Arabidopsis thaliana: one gene and its partner. The protein of the gene in region 1 interacts with the protein of each later gene in a pairwise test. Each region holds a gene or a part of one and is shown on either strand. Other genes may lie near its edges.

Region 1 (3,625 bases):
ACAGCATTCGACATATAAATTTTAAGTTTAGCCAACAATTACCGATTCTTGCCAAAAAAAAAAAAAAAAAAATTACCGCTTTAATGTTTAAAGGACGAAGAAAACGTGTTATTTTAACTTTAAATTATTTTTAAAAGTTTAATAATTATTGTGTATGCATGGAGAAGCAATAAGTTACACCAAGTAACACTTGAGACATATACTTGATTTTTTTCCATTTTCAACGTTATAGGAAAATTGGTGTGAATTAGTATATCCTTGTCTTTTTCATGCCCTGCAACTTGCAGCTGCTTATATAAAGGACTAAGGAAAGGAGGGACACTTTCAAAGCTCATTAGTAATCTAAGACTTTTTCATATTTTCCAAACACTAATTGAAGAAAAACATGCAGGTTCGATTCTTTATATATATTTTCCTAATCTATGTTTCTTAATTGGAAGCTTGTAATAATTTTTCCGAATATTTTTTTATTGCTTATATATCAAATGTCATAATTCTACCCTAATTAGCTCTTTACCATAATTAATATTTTCATGACAGGTAGTTGTACTGAAATTAGATGTTCATTGTGAAAAAACCAAACAAAAAGCTATGTCAACTGTATGTTGTCTCTCAGGTATAAACAACACTCATCAATTGCTAATATATATTTTTTTTACTCATAAGCCTCTAAATTCTCTTAATCAATTGATTAAATCATAATTAAGTACATTTTGATTTTTTTTTGTATTGAAGGATTATTTTTTCTTTTGGTATTGAAGGAGTTAACTCGGTGGAGGTGAAAGATGGTAAACTAACGGTGACGGGAGAGATTGATGCCTATATGATTGTGAAGAAATTGAAGAAGATATGTCATACCGAGTTTATATCGGTTGGACCGGTTAAAGAACCAGAGAAGAAGAAGCCTGATGATCCGAAGAAGCCTGAAACGAAGCCACCAGATGTCATTTATCATTATGTCCCTCCATGTCCACCTTATTACCATAATTTCAACGGATGTTACAATGAAGATCCCAACGCTTGCGTCACCTCTTGAAAACAATATTTTGGTCGGATCAGTTTGGTTCACGATAGTCATCACTCATCAGCTTCGTCGTAGTCTTTGGTTTTGTTCTATTGTGATTGTTTTAACTCTTTCAGTCCAGTCCATTATACACACTCAACATGACTAGACCAAGGTTGCCACTCCCAGGCCCATTTCTTGTTTTAATTCCTTTTTTGTTTTCTTGTTAATAACATGCATTTAAATTTAGATGACGACGCATTAATTGACCATATTTAACACAAATCACTAGGTTATATACGTCTAATTCAAATGATTTTGTTTCATAAAAAATAAAATTAGATATCTAGTGATCTTATAGTAATATATAACAGTAATCTAAGTAGACTGCTCCACAATTATATTTTACTTTATTTAAAAAGAAGAAACTACGTAAGAGGTAAATAAAGTACATCTTTAAAAACAAAATTTATGAATGAAACATTGTGACTTTAATCTCGGTTTGATTTCGATTTCAGCTTTGGTTTTGATATGATTCAACTTTTACCTAGAGAACTTGCTTGAGAAGTTCTTATGACCGAAGAAGTCAATAAGGTCCAACCACAAATCAACGTTGTCCGGGTCGTACACGCGGAATTCTGAAAACTACACTTCCTTTTGTGTTCGTTAGACTCAAATTAATTTTCAACCAAATCATAAAAATAAATATAAAATTGGTAGAGAATGAGTCATTCTGAATGACTACTTTAACCTCTTTGTGGTCGTTATTGCAATACTATTTTTATTTAAAAAATACAAAAACTTTCCCTTGTGGCCTTGTGGGTCATATATAATAATACTTGCAAATTCCTTGGCAATTTCTATTTAAACCGATTTCAGTAGACTTGCTATTGTCATCATTTCATATCTTAGATCATCTCTCTTCTCTCTCTTTCTCTTAAGAATATTGGAAATTTCTGAAGCTTTTCTATAGTTGATCTCGAGCCATGCCTCCAATGGTACGCCTTCTTTTTCCTATGATATCTCTTAAAATAATTATGCGTTGAATAATCGTTTGTATATAAATACTATTTGACTATATATAGTTATGTTAATCAGGTTGAAAATATGTAATTAACCATACTGATCTCTGTTTTGAAATAACAGAAAGCTGTGTTGCAATTGAGCATTCACGAGGAAAGAATCAGGAAGAAAGCGTTTGTCACCGTTTCTCGATGTCCAGGTAACTTTATTAGTTACATTTTTCGAAATTTATAACATGATATATTGTTTGGAAAATGAACTTATATTCATGTTTTTTTCTTTTGTCTAAATAGGTGTTACTTCGATAACAATGGATGACAAAACCGGGAAAATGACAGTAGTTGGTGAAGTTGATGTACCGGTTATCGTGATGAAGCTAAGGAAGCTATGTAACACAGAGCTTGTTTCGGTTGAAGTTGTTAAACCACCTGAGAAAAAGCCTGAACCAGAGAAACCGGCTCCACCTAAACCAGCTCCAGCTCCAGCTAAACCGGCTGAAATTGTTGCCTGGCCGGTTCAGATGAACAACCCTTACCAATACAATCCTGCCTATGCAAATTCTTACTATCAACCATATGGGAACTCTAGATTTGTAACGGACGAATCAAATTGTGTGATTATGTGATAACTTATTTCAAATAATGTGTTAAGTTAGTTTTGATGGAAGAGTGTAATTTTTTAGCTACTGTAATATACATTTCTCATATGAGCTTATTCAGAAAAATTTATGTTACTGTATGATAAATTTGATCTTTATACGTTTTGTTAACTTTAACTTTTAATCATTTAGTAATAGTTGATCTTTTTCCTATACAGAATATTATTCTCTATACTTTGTCTTTTGCTTATATACTAATCAAATGGATACAAAAATATCACACACACACACACATAGTTAAGTCGCTCTCAACTTATTTATGAATATCAAGTACCAAGATCGTTCACGTAATACATTCAATTGTCCAAAACTAAAATAATTTTGAAACAATTAGAGAATGAGATATTAGTAAAGATGTGATGTAGAGAGTCAAGATCTGAAAGTCTCCTTTAGCAAAACAAATACTAATCAATAAAATTCCTACTTGGAGGGATCCACATGTAAACTGAGGCTTTCGAGGACATTTCCTTTCTTGACTATGAAATAGCAGTATTATCCGAGTCTTCTTACCATTTTTCAAATATAAATCGCACATTTACAGATTAAAAAAAAAAAAATTGGATTCATGCATTGAGTTGATTTTGAAATCTAACAAAACTCTTGTGTTACTTTTAAGTCATGACTTCTAAAATTTTAGTTTAAATCATGTGTTATTAAAGTAATCGTTTAAAATACAAATTAAAATTTGTGTTAATCTATTAGTATTTTAAAATTACAAATTAAGAATTATGTTTTTTTTGTCTGCGAATTTTGTTTTCGTTGCGCAACCAAAGAATTGTGGGTAAGAAATGTGTAATACAAGTATGATGCATATAGAATGGCTCGCCATGAAAAAAAGCTGCATAAATGAATTGCTAGGATCATGAATGTTAAGTTGATCAATTATACTGGATATAAAAGTTAAAGTATCTTCAAATGATACTGTATCAGACAAACCAAAG
Region 2 (4,247 bases), on another chromosome or scaffold:
ATTTTTATTGTTTAGCTCAATTTGGGATTATGATGAAACAGTAGTGGCTGAATATGAGACTAACTACTGCCCAGCTATTAGCTGCAGGTGGTTCTCTGTTTCAACATGATCTCTCTGCCTTACTCATCTGAATTCTCTTTTTCTGCATTGTTTTTTTTTTGGTATTTTGTAGAACTTATTTGACATGTTCTTGTATCATCATCTTGCCATGTTTTTAAAAAAGAGTTGACTTGGTTGATCAAATGTCAATTGTGTGTTGATGCAAAGATGTCTTTAAAACAATATTATAGGTTTCTTGTTGTACGAATTGGGAAAAATATATTAGTGTTTTTGTATTCTATATTTTGTTGTTCATGGCTTTTAAATTTGATAGCTGTCTTCAACAAATTGTTCTTTATAATCCTTAGTATTTCTAGATTGCATAATGCAAGTAGTCAATGATAAGTTGTGAGCTTATTGTGATAAATTATTTATGAATTAGATAAGTCGAAGAACAAGTCTAGTTTACTAATTCGGATTGCCACAAACTATGTCTTTTTAAATGAAGTTTTGTACGTAGTAAGGCCTCTTTGATGTTTACTTCAAACCAAGAAACCTTCAAATCCTTAATAGATTATTATCCACACTCAAGCTACATATTGAATGCTAACATCAGATAATCTTTATAAACAAATGGTTTTTTGTCATACTTCAGATTTAAATCGCAAACCCTGAACCTTTCACTGATATAGACAGGTGGTGATGGTCTCTTCAGATGCTATTGCGACTCTCTGATTGAAAATGTGCAGGTAAAATCAAATACTCTGCAATACTAATTAACGCAATTCATATATAAGAGAAGATGATCTCTCCCTTTCATATTATGTTGCTTATTATTTGAAGTTGTTTAGAATTTAGTAATATGTACTTTTTTAGCAAAACATAATATCTTTATTTATATGAATTTGGTGGGAAAAGAAAGAAAGAGACAAATGCTTTTGTCATGCTTGCCACCTTTATCTGTTGAAAAATCTTCTCCACCGCAGACCCAAAAAAATAATATTGTTTTCTTTATCCTTTTTGTTTGCTTCTTATAAGAGATTGTTGTTGTAAGCTCACCAAACATTCAGATTTGAGCTTTCTTCTTATATATCTGTGTAGGGGACCAGAGAATCAAATCACTTTTCAAGTGAATAATACTTTTGATTTCTCCATTTGAACGATTCTGGTTTTTGTTGTAAACCAACAACCATCATGCTCAGTTTCCAAGAAGAATGGATGCTTACAATTGTATCGTCGTGATCTTCTGCATCTCCTTGTTTGCAATCAATTTAGTGTTTTCTTGTTTCACTTGCTTCTCCATTCTTCAGAGCTCCATGAAAGATGAAAACCAGGATTTCAGTGATCTCAGGAAGAATCTTATTGAACCAGAGGAAGCTAAACCAGATGAGAAGGTAATGATCATTACAGTCTCTAGTAACCAAGAATTATCTGACTCCACTGATGATGATGATGGTGGCCAAGATTGCTCTCATGAGGATATTTGTGCTTGTTGAAACAAAGGTTGGCTTCTATTTCCATTACACAATTCTCCTCTTGCTTTTGCAATTTTGTCTTATGATCATTCCTACTTGTAAATGGTTAAATCCATAGATCGAGAGTATCCATCTTATGCGGAATCCAGATTTTTGTTTTTGTTTCATGTGTATCATATGAAAGAAATTATACAGTCTGCAAAAAGCATATGTAAATTGAATGGTGGTGGTGCACAAATTTGTGGAAAGTTCAAAGTTATATTGTTTAATTTGTGGTGCATATATTTCTTGATTAAGTTTAATTTTCAAGGTTTACGTTTCTTTGGAGGCTGAGAATTAAAGGCTGCCTCTACTTAGCGTGAAAGAAGAAGAGAAAAAAATTCCACTCAAAGAAAGTAATAAAAAGTTTAACAACGATGTTGTTAGTTGACAAAAGTGACAATTAAAAAACTTGAAATAGATATTTAAAATTAAAAACAAGGACAACGAAATGCTTATAGTGACAGACTACTGATAAAATTCTCTGTTCTGTATTATAGTTTCCATTGCCTAATTGTATAAAAATGATTGAAGATGATAAATCATATTCATGGATGATAAAGAACATTAGTTAATTTCATAATCATTTCCAAGAACTCGAAGCTTCGACGGATGCATTTAATATTTATTATACCCTAACCACATGTTTCTTCATAAATTATATTTTCAAAACTTTCTTATTAGTATGAATAGCAATCGTATTAATGTCAAACATTGCAGTCGGTTTGTAAAAGCATATAATAATAACTCCGGGCCAATTTTCGGAAATACGCGTTATCTGGGGTCTGACAGCAAATAATTAAAAGTGTTTTAACCAAAAAAAAAAAAAAAAGAGACTTCTTCTTCAAATTGATTCAACGCTTCAATCTCGATTGAATCAGAAAGAGCGATCAGATCACGGAGAAAGAGATGGGTCACGGAGAAGAAGATAAAAGCAAAGGATTTGCTTCGGAAGAAGGTAACCAGCATCATCAATACGGTACCTTTCAAGGTGTTTCCAATTACCCTCCGCCGCAGAATTCTGCTCCGGTCACTGGGTTTCCTCAACCTTCTGCGCCACCTGGCGTTTACGATTCTGGAGCTCCTTATTACGCTCATGGATATCAAACTGTTCCAGGTAGCTTCACTTCCTGTATTGGATATTCTGATTTCATATTTTAGCAGATTTGGGAATTTAGGTTGAACTGTTGTAAAATTAATAGTGATCATTCATTGTCTTCATAAGATTCTAATTTGATTACGGGATCGTGTTTGTTTAGCTATAGAAACAAGTTTTGGGGTTGTTCTTTGTTTTAATCAAAATGTTATAACAAGCTTTGATGAGAATTATAAAGTTTGGAGAGCTTTGATTACTTCTAGGAACAGCTCAGTTAATTAGTTAGGTTGTATTGGTTTGTGCTATGGAAAATTTGTAAGGCTTATGTAGTGTCTCATTTTCTCTTCTTCTTCTTGTTCAAATCCAAGTCAAGAGCATAAATAGATGTGTGTTCAACCGTTCTTATGTTTACTCTTTCTTGATTGTTGTATTTTTCAGTCCATGGTGGTGTTGCTGAAGGAAGACCTGTCAGACAACGTCGCCTTCCTTGCTGTGGAATTGGTCTTGGATGGTTCCTGTAAGTTCATTTCTACTTCAAACACGAGCTTAGTATTTTCTGAATCTCCCTCTCTCTTCACATGCCTGAGAAAATATTTGGTCTTGTGGAAGGTTCATTGTTGGATTTTTCCTTGGAGCAATCCCTTGGTATGTCGGATTGTTCATCATGATGTTTGGAAGGAGAATCGATTACAGGGAGAAACCAGGATACATTGCCTGCACTATCGCTGTAATATTTCTTCTACTCTCTGTCCTTATCTTCTCTCGTTTTTCCTTATATCCCATTGGACTCCCGACAAATTAAATTAAATTGATTCATGTCTAAACGTTGCAGGCTATTCTAGCAACAATCGCTGTGATTCTGGGTGTATCTAAAGGAGCAGACGACTGGTGATGGATCAATCATCTTGTGGGGTTACTCTAAAAATGTTTGTATAGGTTTCTTTATCGTGTGTTGTATTATCTACTTCCTTTTTTACTTACTCTATGAAGAAACAAGAAAAAAAAAAGTGTAAACTTCACAAGAATTATTTGAGTTTTGTTATCTAAATAAGAAGAAGTCAAAGATATGAAATTTAAGACAGAGAGACAAAATGTGATGAGATTGAAGATGGTTTTTACATCAGGAAACTTACAAAATGAAATGAAACTATCTTTTTGCAGAAACAGTTGTATTGTTGTGCATCCTCAATAAGTCATCAGGGGTTACAAGAAACCAACCGCCATCTTTCTGAGCCAACAGCTTCTGGTTCACTGAGTCTATAATGACACTCACATTCCCAAACCCATATATCTGAAGACCATTGTGCATTCTATTCGGTTTAGGTTTGAACAGCAACTCCTGCTCTTGCGCAAATACTTCCAAGACTTCTTTCAAACTCAACACTTCAGTGCTATCCATCTGAGCCTTGGCCTGAGCTTGAGCCTGAGCCGGCACGGACTGTGTACGCTCATTTGCCTTTGCTCTTGGCTGAGACACTTCAACTCCTTCAACAGCTTCCATCAACATATCTAAACCACGCTTTAACTGAATTCGGATCCTCTCATTTGCTGTAAGCTCTTGCGGGAATAACTCTTTCCAACCATAATACCATCCCTGG

Evidence for each region.
Region 2: the proteins of AT5G52750 (region 1) and AT1G17080 interact in a two-hybrid assay, tested with the Arabidopsis thaliana proteins (one large-scale study listed by BioGRID).

Annotation. Positions count from the first base shown.
Region 1 is NC_003076.8:21,382,145-21,385,769, forward strand, and holds AT5G52750 (Heavy metal transport/detoxification superfamily protein), read left to right. Parts: upstream 1-1,872; 5' UTR 1,873-1,989; coding exon 1,990-2,001; exon of another isoform or gene 2,002-2,149; coding exon 2,150-2,225; intron 2,226-2,319; coding exon 2,320-2,651; 3' UTR 2,652-2,871; downstream 2,872-3,625. Other genes in the region: AT5G52740 (Copper transport protein family), read left to right, coding at 386-391, 541-616, 762-1,036. UniProt on the Arabidopsis thaliana protein: Probable heavy-metal-binding protein.
Region 2 is NC_003070.9:5,839,752-5,843,998, reverse strand, and holds AT1G17080 (Ribosomal protein L18ae family), read left to right. Parts: upstream 1-2,253; 5' UTR 2,254-2,462; coding exon 2,463-2,670; intron 2,671-3,087; coding exon 3,088-3,166; intron 3,167-3,258; coding exon 3,259-3,376; intron 3,377-3,481; coding exon 3,482-3,541; 3' UTR 3,542-3,730; downstream 3,731-4,247. Other genes in the region: AT1G17090 (uncharacterized protein), read left to right, coding at 1,254-1,535; STIPL1 (GC-rich sequence DNA-binding factor-like protein with Tuftelin interacting domain-containing protein), read right to left, coding at 3,797-4,247.